3 linked regions of the Mus musculus genome follow. The main gene of each other region encodes a partner of the protein of the gene in region 2 in a complex. Links are inferred from orthologs where the notes say so. Each region holds a gene or a part of one and is shown on either strand. Other genes may lie near its edges. The genes, in order: Myom1, Obsl1 and Ccdc8.

Region 1 (3,745 bases), on a different chromosome or scaffold from region 2:
TAAGAAGCGCTCAGACTCTGTGCACAGTCTGAAGAGACAGCCAACGGTATTCACCGGATGGTCCGACTGGAGCATGAAGGAAAGGTTTTTTGCCTGGCTAGCTAGAAGACTGAGGCTGCCATTATCCGAGATGAGGAAGAGAAGAAAATATCATCTAAGGATGGGAAGAAAAAAACTCAAAACCAGCCTGAGATATTCTCCATCTGAGGAACCTGCTACACTATCCAGCTGAGGTTTTAAGTAGGAAGTCGGATGTGTGACTTTAAAGTTCAAGGTACGGGATGGATATCTGGATCTTGGAGGCAACTGCACATAGGTGAAGCTGGAAAGCAGAAAGCTCTCTGGGCGGTGGTGCACACCTTCAATCCCAGTGCTCTGGAGGCAGAGAGAGACAGGTGGGTCTCTGTGAATTTGAGGCCAGCCTGGTTTGTGCAAGCCTCAGATCAGCTAAGACCTCACGGTGCCACCCTTTCCCAGGCGGCAGGAGACGGATGTGAGTGACTGCGCACAGAAAAGCTGAACCTCACGGTCTGATAACTTCTATAATTGGGAGTTCTTTCAAATTGTGCACACATTACAAAAAGGCAGAACAGTATTTATTCCATATAGAAATATGGGAGAATCCATATAGGAATATAAAGAATCTGAGCTCGGTGTGGCTCTGGCATTTCATATCTATCTATCAGGTAATTGATTTTGTGCGTCTAGGGGGTGCATGTGTGTCACAGCATGTACACGGAGCACAGAGGACAACTTCTCAGCACCCGTTCTCTCCTTCCGTGAGGGCTCAGGGGACAGAATTCAGGCCACCAGGCTTAGCAGGAAGTGCCTTTGCTTACGGAGGCCTTGCATTTACTTCATGTGTAAATCATGTGTTCACCGAAAGACTACCAGCCACATGGCAAACTGGAGCAAGTCATAATTTTATAGACACCTCTCCTAGGTTTTTTAAAAAAACCTCCCATGTATAATATTATTATTTTCAAAACTATATAACAAAATTGTTTTCAAGCAAAGGTTTTTCTTTTCCTAACCTTGTTTTGCTTAAAATTCCTAACTGAGGAGTAAATCCTTTTAAATTTTTGTCATATTTAAAACTAAGTTTTATTTAAGCTGCTTAAAAAGTCAGTGTGTTCTCTTTAGAGAAGAAAAGCCAACAAACTTCACTCCTGAAATATGTATCTGAAGTCTCATGGGAAATACCAGTCTACATGACATTTTCTAAGAGAGAGAAAAAAAAAATAGCTACCAGCAAGCAACTGTGCTTCCTTAAATCCTTAAATAGATTGCCTTTTCTGTTACTAAATATGCAGAACTATACTTAATGGATAACTTTTGGGTGGCGTTTATAGTATAAAAGGGTTAGAATACACTGTATTATGAAGTGTTAGGTAAGTCTCTGTAATGATGTCATCAAAGTGACTTACAAATAATAAAAGCTCCTTTGCTGTGTTATATTATAAACTAACATTGCTACCCAGATGGTTCAAAATGCTATCATTCTCACAAAACAGATGGTTTAAGTGTCTTGTCCCAACTCCATTTTCCATTCTTCATTATCTGTCCCAAGAATACTTACGTGATTAACATCTACTACTTAGTACATTGGTTAAGCCACCAGTGCTGAACCAAAGTATAGCAGTGACCAAAGTATAACCAGCCAGTGAGCCAGGCTTAGCCCAACACACAACTGCCAGGATTTGTTAGAAATAAAGACTTTTTTATTTTTTTGTCTTCTGTGCTTCTGAAAACTAACTTTTATTTCTAAAAATAATCTCGACGGTTAAGAAGAAATACTACCTCCAAAATTGTAACCGTGCTGTAATATTCTGATGCGGGCAGCAGAGGCCAAAAGCTGATGGAAATTAATTACAGAAGGCAATCGCTCCAGGGTCACGGTGCCAGGTCTGCCACCTCTGTGTTACCCAGTCATTTTCAAGTCAGAAATATCACAATGCTCCTGAGAGAGAGGTCGTCCACACTGCTCTCTCATGGCAGAGTTCATCCTCTCGCTTCTTCCCTCCCCCATCCCTCTCTTCCCTTGGAGCTATGTCACCGGATCATGAATTAGTGGCTCTGAAGAGAATTTGTATCCTTCTAGCTTAATTTGCACTCAAGGAGCTCTGTAAATACTTCACTGCTCCTTTCCCTGAGAAAATACTTGCATTGGATATGAGACAAATGTGAGCTTGCAGTTCCAGAAACAGAGGCATATTCTTGTTTTCAAAAGAATACGGCAAAAACAGCCACCAGCCCAGGCAGGTACCTTACTGCTCCCGTCTCCCCTTCCAGGAGCTCCTGTCACTCCCCTGCTGAGGCGAGAAGGCAGACTGAAACTCCTGAGTACATTTGCCACCTCCATGTCACTTACCGGTTTCTGGGGTGGGGGTTACGGCCCACTGCCCTGCCGCAGTCGAGGAGCAGGAGAGAATGAGGGCCCACCTAGGTTGAATCCAAGAAAAAGTTAAGAGGCAGGGCTAGAGGCTGGATTCTGGGGGCCAGTTCAAAAATAATGCATGTGGTCAGGCAGCAGAATGTCAGGGCCCCACAGCCAGCCTTTTATGGCCAGGAAGGCAGATAAATATAGCAGCACATGGGGAGGGGAGTCCCAAACCCAGAGAAGAGCATGGCAGGAAGCTGCAGGAGCAGTAGGATTAGGTTAATGGCTCAATGAGTACGGCCTGATTAAACCAAATGGAGGACCGACTTAAATAGAGGATTCTACGGACTGTGTCCGATATATCTTTACTGCTTTGTATTTAAACATACAGGGCTTGTGTTCAGAGCTAAAAACAGGTGTAGGAATCCGATCCTCAAAATGGACCTCATGGAATCTTAACGCCAAGACGCGGCTTTGTGTGCGCTGTTTGTGACACATGGAGCACAGCGTTGAAAGACAACATGGGAGAGAAAGCTGGGGCTAACTAAAGGTTAGTGCGGAGGCTTTGGGACACTCGCTGTCCCTCTCTGTTTAGGAAAAGTGAATCTTAGCATCAGGTGCAATTGTCCAATTCCTCATTCATTAGAAAAAGGAAAAGAAAAATTAGGAAAAGGAATTCGTTATCTTATCCTTCCACACTCAAGAGCAGGCTCAGCCTAACTACCTGATTCTTTGCTTCCAACCAATGGTGTAATGAAGAAGTGGCCCAGCCTGACACATGGGCTCCATCCCAAAATCCTCGTGAAAAGAACCTGCAGCAGTGGTGCACATCTGTAATTCCAGAACTCCATAGAAACGGTAATTCCATGAGTCCTACAGCAAGATGACAGACAGAGGCAGGAGGATCTCAGCTAAGCTGGTGGCTCTTTCTCTCTCTCCCTCTGTCCCTCCGTCCCTCCATCCCTCCCTCCGTCCTTTCCTCCCTCCCTCCCTCCCTCCCTCTTTTATAAACACACACAGTAAACACACTAACAATAAACAGAAAGTAATCCATTATAATCTATAAACTTCAGAAACTATTTGCTTCAAGAATTCTACTTAGACCCCCTTGCAATAGACAAAAAGACACCTTGGTGGTGGTATTCGGTCAGGGCCAGAGCAGATGGCAGTCCTTTGTTCATTCTAGCTTGATACCTGGCTTGGTGGCCAGAGCTGTTGTATGCCTAGGACTCAAAAAATCAAGTCAACTCAAATGCAGGCAGCACAGCGCAGGAGAAAGAAGACAGATAGACCCACCCTCCAGCACATGGCACAGGCAGGCAGACCAGAGACACACTGCGTACTGCCATGTTAGCACAAGATGGA
Region 2 (3,645 bases):
CACACAGGGATTTAGCAGGCAGAGGCCCAGAGGCCACACCTCTCACTGTGAGCCGAGCAGCACACCGAAGGGTGTCCGCAGTGAAGGAGACACAGCCCGAGTCAGCCAGACCCAGGCCGCTTAGCACCAAGCGGTGAGTGCGGCCTTCTGATTGAATGTGGCACTTGGGCCCTGGGTGCAGCCGGACTCCACCCTGGGCCCACTCTCCGGTCACACCCTCCTGGGACAGCTCCAGCTGGAAGGTGGCACTGCCCCCCTCATGGACGGTCACATCCTCCAGAGGCCGAAGTTCCCTCAGCTGCCGAGCTAGTGTGGGGAGATGAGAGAGGGAGGACACCAGCTCTGGGCAGGGTGCAGGGGCTCACTCACTCCAGCATGCTCCACGTGCCACCCCAGCACTCCATGAAAGGCCTTGGCTATACAACTTCAGACTGGGTGGGAAGGAGGGAGGGAGAAGGACGGGTTGAGGAGTCTCAGTGTGGGGTGGGGTGACACTGGAAGGAACAATAGGCCCACTGGGATCAGAGCCTTTACTTAACATATAACTCGTCTGTGTACCAAGGGATCTTTGGCAAACTCCTCTGACTTTTTTTTTCTAAGCCCTAGTTTTCCCTATTGCACTAAACCAGTGGTTCTCAACCTTCCTAATGAAGCAACCATCTCATATAGTACCTCATTGGTGGTGACCCCCAGCCATGAAATTATTTTCATTGCTACTTCATAACTGCGATCCTGCTACGGTCATAAATTGTAATGTAAATACCCGATAGGCGGGGTATCTGATAGGGGACCCCTGTTGTTTGATTAGCAAAGGGGTCTTGACCCACAGGTTGAGAACCACCATGCTAAAGCCCAGTGCCACTCTGGGTTATACTGTGATGAACACATACCACTCGTGACAGCCAATCACCAAGGTCTGATACCTTGGCTAATTTCCTCAAAGACTCTGGACGTAGGGATCAACCCTATTTTTATGGAGATTTGTTTCAGAGAGATTGCATGAGGTCACACAGGTAGTGTGTTCCAGCATGGGGCAGTGGGTGAGAAATGCTATTAGCCAGTCATTCTTTCAAAAAATAAATACAGAGAGTTTTTCTGGAGTATAAAATTTATGCTGCTAGCAAAGCCATCTTTGAAGTAAAAAGCAGAGTCCATTTGGACTTCTGAGGGACTAGAAAACATTAGAAAAAGAGGATTTTGGTTTGAGCAGGAGCCTTCTGGCTCTAACCCCAGATTGGGACAGCCAAGGCAGACCTTCCTCAGCAGAAAGGAGCACTTTGGTGGTGGTGGCAGTGTCAGGGACTCTGGGCCAGCCAGGTGAGTGATGAAGTAGGAGAAGATTGGGCACTCACGCCTCACACTGAGCCTGGCCAGGGTGCGATCGTGGCGGCTCTCACAGCCGTAGGTGCCCTGGTCGGTAAGTAGAACGCCATGGATAGAGAGGCGGTGGACATGGCCATCCTGAGCCGTGGTCAGGCGAGAGTCCAGGGGAAGAGGTTCCCCACCTCGTATCCAGCGAACAGTTCCAGCTGCACCAACTCGGCCTGTCTCTACCTCAAGGTGCACATCCTGGCCTTCCTCGGCCCGCACATCCTGCAGCCGCCGCAAGAACAGCAGCTCTGTCTCTGGAAGGGAAGATGAGAGATCATGGAGCCCAGAGGTTGAAGGCTAGCTCACTTCTAGGCCATGGTTGTGAGGGGTTAGCTACAGGGAACAGAGCATTTTATGCTCAGTCACACTGAACCTCGAACGTGGAGCCTGGCACTTGTGTCAGCAGCTCCGGCTCGCGCGGTCACGGTCCCTGCGTCTTTGAGTTGGCAGCCTCGGATGATCAAGGTGCGGCTTGAACCATTCTGGACCATTTCCAACTGTGGCCCTGCAGTGATAACCGCTCCGTTGCGTAGCCAGGTGACTTCGGCATCTGGTGGTGAAACCTCACACTGGAATGTGGCATCGTCCCCCTCATGGACTGTCAGAGGCGTCAGTTCAGAGACCAGCTTCACTGGCGGGAGCTCTGGAAGGAGGGGTGAGGCAGTGACCTGGATACCTCTTTCTCCCTCTGTCTCTCTCCACTACCAACCCCCACCCTGATCCCCCTACAGGATGCAAGCTCTCATTCTCCCACCAATTACAACAGCTTGAGTGAGGCCCTATTGTGTGTTGGTTGTGGGGGTTCTCCCAAAGACCAGGATGCCAAATCCTGGCCACACTTAGTAAGCTCCTTGAAATCCCAGCCTGGCACCTCTTCCCAAGTCTCTAGTACCAATACATTATTTACTATGGGCCCAGTTACAACATTTAATGGTCATAGCAACCTATCTGCCATCCCATTTCAGTGCTGGGGCTCAGGGGAATAAAATGGCCTCGCAAATGTCACCCAAGTCCCAGAGAGCCAAGTCTGAGTTACACCCTGGACAAGTTGACTCTAGAGTCCTCCTTTTAATCCACTGGGCTATACATCCTGCTATGCTAGGGTGCTGGAAAAAAGGAAGATGCCCTCTTACAGTGACAGTCATGAACGCATTGGTGGGAACCATAGAGAGCAGTTGGGTGAGGTATAGGAGATGAAAAGGGTCCAGAGGATGGGAGGTTGTCTTTGTGGGTATGAGGGGTGCATGGTTACCTTCCACACTGACGATGAAGATGCGACTGTCCTGGGGTGCGTCGCACAGGTATTCCCCAGCATCCCCTCTCCGTGCCCCCCGCACCCGCAGCACCTGCCTCGCCCCGGCTTGTTCCAGCTGTACCCGCCCCTGGCTTGCCAGGCGCTCCCCGTCCTTGTACCAGCGCACAGGGGTCCCTGGCCTGGAGAGGTGCACCACCAGCTCTAGGTCCCCACCTGGGGTGCTTCGAACACTCGTCTGGGCTGCCTCGGGGGCCACTACCCGCACTGGGGGCTCTGTGGGGTCAGAGCTAGGGGTCACTGGGAGGGCAGTGAGAAGGGTGGGGAGACAAGCTGGGGGAACAGGGCAAGGGAAAGATGTTATGTCTTAGGAAAGTGGGGGAGCCCTGGATGGGGGGGAGGGGGGACTAGTAAGGCTTTCTGCCCAGGTTGTACTCACCAGCCACCTGGACATTGAAGCTGAGGCTTGGGGCCCCTGGGGATGCCCCAGATTGGCAAGTGTAGACACCTGTGTGAGCGAGGTCTGCTGCCTGGATGCAGAGGATTCTGCGAGGACCCTCAGCTCGCAGCTCTAGTCCTTCACCCTGCTGCACCGGGCTCCCATTGTGGCTCCAGAACACTTGTGCGCTTGCTCGGGACAGCTCACAGCTCAGCACCACGGGCTCCCCAGGAACCACGCAGAGCGGATTTGGGGCTGCCTCTGGAGCCAGAAACTGCACCGGAAGCTCTGCACAAAGAAAAAGGGAGTTGTAAGCCCAAGCCAGCCCCTGCCTCCCCACCCAAGGCTGGACCGGCACACCCACCAGCCAGGCTGACGTTGAAGGTGACAGCCTCATCTCGGGTCTCACATACATACTCCCCGGCATCCTCAGGCTGGGCGTGGGGCAGGGTGAGAGTGCGGGCAGGCCCCTCAGCACCCAGCTGCAGCGCATCTGACACCTCTACCTCTAGGCCATCCTTGTACCAGCGCACCTGAGACCCAGCCGGGGCCACTTCGCAGCGTAGCTCCACGTGTCCTGGAG
Region 3 (3,745 bases), on a different chromosome or scaffold from region 2:
CTGATTTTCTGTAGCACCAGTTCTTTGGTTAGCTGGGCCCTCTGCCCTCTGACTATCTATGGCTTCTGCCCTCTGGTCAGGTGGGACTCCTGCCCTGAGATAAGCTGCAGCCTCTACCCTCAGATTAGCTTCAGCCTCTGCCTTTGGACTAGCTGCAGCCTCTGCCCTTGGACTAGCTTCAGCCTCTGCCCTTGGACTAGCTGCAGCCTCTGCCCTTGGACTAGCTGCAACCTCTGCTCTTGGATCAGCTGCAGCCTCTGCCCTTGGACTAGCTGCAGCCTCTGCTCTTGGATCAGCTGCAGTCTCTGCCCTTGGACTATCTACAAGCTCTGCCTTCTGGTTAGCAGCAGCCTCTGCTATTGGACTAGCTGCAGCCTCTACTCTTGGATCAGCTACAGCCTCTGCCCTTGGACTAGCTGCAGCCTCTGCTCTTGGATCAGCTGCAGTCTCTGCCCTTGGACTATCTACAAGCTCTGCCTTCTGGTTAGCAGCAGCCTCTGCTATTGGACTAGCTGCAGCCTCTGCTCTTGGATCAGCTGCAGCCTCTGCCCTTGGACTAGCTGCAGCCTCTGCCCTGGGACTAGCAACAGCCTCTGCCCTGAGACTAGCTGCAGCCTCAGTCCTTGGACTAGCTGCAGCCTCTGCCCTTGGACTAGCTGCAGCCTCTGCTCTTGGATCAGCTACAGCCTCTGCCCTTGGACTAGCTGCAGCCTCTGCTCTTGGACTAGCAACAGCCTCTACTCTTGGATCAGCTGCAGTCTCTGCCCTTGGACTAGCTGCAGCCTCTGCCCTTGGACTAGCTAGAGGCTCTGCCCTCTGGTTAGCTGCAGCCTCTGCCCCCTGGTTCTCTGCAGCCTCTGGGTGCTCCTCAGCTGGCATGCCTGTTCCCTGAGCGAAGGGTGGCACCTGCTCCTTCCTGCATCGTCTCAGGGAAACCCACTTGATCTTGGGCTTCCAGCGTCTAGTACCCAGCATCTGGTCACTCCGGTCTCCTGTGTTTCTGGAGCTATCATCGTCCGAGCTGGCTTGGCTGTGTCTCATTTCTCCAGCCCTCTCAGCTGCTGTGGAGGCCTGCTGGGTCTGGCCCACCTCGGAGCCTGATCTGGGTGCCCAGCCCTTCACCCTCTGTTTCAGCTTCCCCCAGGACACCTGGCTAACATACTCCCTCCATCTGTCGGCCTTGGATGGCTGGGGCCCCAGGTTGTTCTCAAACATGGGCACTGGAAGATTGACTCGGCGTCGTGGAGGAGGCGCGCTGGGCTTCTCCCCACGGCGGAGGAAGGCCTCCACCAGCTCCTGATCATCCTCACTCTCCACATCGCTGCCCAGGAATTTGCTGCCCAAGTAACTGACCGGCATTTTGCGCACCTTCCTGGTCCTCCCGGAGGAGCTCCTGTTGCCTTTGACTTTGGAGGTATCGAAGTCACTCAACTCACTGTCGCTGCCATTGCTGCTGTCATAGGTACCTACAACCAGCCGAAGTGGAGGAGTGACCATCTGCGGGACTCTCCTCACTCTCAGCTCCTTGGTTCTTTTGCGGGGTTGGGGTGGGTGTGGAGTGCTCTTTTCGATGATACGGGCCACATCTTCCAGGGTGCGGCCCTCCTCCTGCAAAAACTGGATTAGCCGCTCCCGAAACTCAGCTTCCTTCGTTGCAGGCTTGGAGATGACTCTCCACACGCCCCCAGCCAGGCGGACCTCCCGGGGGATGAGCAGATAGTCAACATCCTCCCCAATCTGCAGCATCCCCACCGTGGAGTCCTCTTCTTTGCGGAACACCTTTCCGATTTTCTTAAAGGTGCCCACAGGCCTTAAGGCCTCCACTAACACGTCCAGATCGACATCTTTGCAGACGTCGGGGACACTCCAGAGGATCAGGCAATCGGGAGACGGAAGGAAGCCCCAGGGGAACCATCCCCCTACGTGGCTTTTTTCGAGAGTCTTTAAGATCTCCAGCGTGGACGCTCGAGTGGGGGCAAAAAGCCCAGACACTTGGCTGCTAGTCTTGGGGAGGGGGCGGTGGACAGTCCTAGCAACTCTGCTCGCACAGAGTGTCTCCTCCCTACAATTTTCTCTTCAGGAAACAAGTCCAAGTTGGCTTCCCCAACCCCCTCGGAGTTGTAGCAAGCAGTTTTCCAGGATGCTTACATGAACTGAAGCACGCTCATTCCCGAGGCTCAAAGTTCAGTCCAAACTGGAATCGCCAGTGTCCCGGCTCCAAGTTGGGGTCCCACGAGCTCCGATCGCTTCTCCCTTGCCCCAGACACCAGGATATAGCTGAAAGTTCTTGGGAGGACTCTGCAGACAAAGACGGCTCAGCGTGGCCTTTCAATATGGCGAGGTGCTTAAAGGCCTCCGCCCAGCCCCGAGGAGGGTCTCCCGCCCCCAGGCAGTCTGCCACCCGCTCCAAACTGACCTTGCGCTCAGTCTGTGGTGGAGCTGAGAGCCGCAGGAAGTTTCTGGGCGCCCTCCCCTCCTGGGTGAGGCCCACCTTCTCCTTCTCATCTTACACTCTAAGCCTGGGAAGACTGGCAGCGGGGCTGTCCACTCCCCTTCAGGGCAGCCTCCCTCTCCTCCCCCACAGAGGTGTGGCTGCCCCCCAGAGCCTCAATGGGGCCAGGGCTTCCCTTAGCTGCAGCCAAAACCCACGTCATCATCCTTCCCAAAAGGCAACGGGTCCCCCAACCTGCCATCCTAGACGTGCAAGCCCAAAAGGTGCGAGTGCTGATGGCTCAAATCCTTTGAAGGCTATTGCAATTATGAACGTGCGTTTAAAATTAAGGGGATGGGACTAGAGGTGGCTCAATGGTTAGGAGCATGGGCTACCTTTATGTAAGACCTGGGTTTGACTCCCAGAACCAATACGATGGCTCAAAACCCTGTTTATTTCCAGTTCCAGGGGATCCAATACCCTCTTCTGATCTCTGTGAGCACTGCATATACGTGGTACACACACACACACACACACACACACACACACACACACACACACACACACAGAGAGAGAGAGAGAGAAGACATTCATGCACACAAAAAGGGGCACACAAGATAACCCAATGGGTAAAAACATTTCCCCAAAGCCTGAATTCAATCCCAGAACCCACATAAAACCAATTCTACAAAGTTATTGTTCAATCTCCACATGTGCACCCCTATACACAGATTGTACATATATTAATTCACACACGATAAACACGGGTTTTGTTTGTTTGTTTGTTTGTTTGTTTGTTTTTCGAGACAGGGTTTCTCTGTGTAGCCTTGGCTGTCCTAGAACTCACTTTGTAGACCAGGCTGGCCTCGAACTCAGAGATCCACCTGCCTCTGCCTCCCAAGTGCTGGGATTAAAGGCGTGCGCCACCATGCCCAGCCCGATAAACACGTTTTTAAAGTAAAATATTTTCTTGGAGTTGGAGAAATGGCTCCATGGTTAAAAGCACAGGCTGCTCTTTCAGAGGACCTGGGTTCAATTCCCAGCACCCACATAATGCTCATAAATGTCTGTAACCCCACCTCTAGGGGATTTAACACCCCCCCCCCACTGATATACATCAAAACACCAAAGCACATAAAATAAATATATTTTTTAAATAAAAAATTTTCTTAAAAATAAAAAAACCTTTAAGATCACAGAGATGTTGTACCCTCAGTTCTTAGTTTATGTATCCCACGTGGCCTCAAACTTTCAGGGATCCTCCTGCCTCAGCCTCTGTCTACTAGGCTTTACGTAGGCCACTATTATCAGGCT

The links.
Region 1: the proteins of Obsl1 (region 2) and Myom1 are in contact, whole or in part, in a crystal structure (PDB 5FM5), measured with the Homo sapiens proteins. The link is inferred for Mus musculus from reciprocal best matches to the Homo sapiens genes OBSL1 and MYOM1. Residues at the interface, in NP_056126.1 of Homo sapiens: Pro243, Lys253, Phe255, Val257, Asn258, Gly260, Lys261, His262, Ala263, Lys264, Phe265, Arg266, Cys267, Tyr268, Val269, Met270, Gly271, Lys272, Pro273, Pro275, Trp279, Lys305, Tyr308, Tyr317, Cys319, Ala321, Arg322, Asn323, Ser324, Ala325; in NP_003794.3 of Homo sapiens: Arg616, Pro617, Ser618, Ala619, Pro620, Trp621, Thr622, Gly623, Gln624, Ile625, Ile626, Val627, Thr628, Glu629, Glu630, Glu631, Pro632.
Region 3: Obsl1 (region 2) and Ccdc8 share a complex: the UniProt entries of both Homo sapiens proteins name them as parts of the 3M complex. The link is inferred for Mus musculus from reciprocal best matches to the Homo sapiens genes OBSL1 and CCDC8.

The regions. Positions count from the first base shown.
Region 1 is NC_000083.6:71,018,278-71,022,022, reverse strand, and holds the start of Myom1 (myomesin-1), read right to left. Parts: upstream 2,467-3,745; 5' UTR 2,372-2,466; intron 1-2,371. UniProt on the Homo sapiens protein: Major component of the vertebrate myofibrillar M band. Binds myosin, titin, and light meromyosin. This binding is dose dependent.
Region 2 is NC_000067.6:75,489,444-75,493,088, forward strand, and holds part of Obsl1 (obscurin-like protein 1), read right to left. Parts: coding exon 3,427-3,645; intron 3,351-3,426; coding exon 3,063-3,350; intron 2,900-3,062; coding exon of another isoform or gene 2,624-2,899; intron 2,015-2,623; coding exon 1,745-2,014; intron 1,626-1,744; coding exon 1,353-1,625; intron 307-1,352; coding exon 40-306; intron 1-39. UniProt on the Homo sapiens protein: Core component of the 3M complex, a complex required to regulate microtubule dynamics and genome integrity. It is unclear how the 3M complex regulates microtubules, it could act by controlling the level of a microtubule stabilizer.
Region 3 is NC_000073.6:16,992,589-16,996,333, reverse strand, and holds the start of Ccdc8 (coiled-coil domain-containing protein 8 homolog), read right to left. Parts: upstream 2,433-3,745; 5' UTR 1,747-2,432; coding exon 1-1,746. UniProt on the Homo sapiens protein: Core component of the 3M complex, a complex required to regulate microtubule dynamics and genome integrity. It is unclear how the 3M complex regulates microtubules, it could act by controlling the level of a microtubule stabilizer.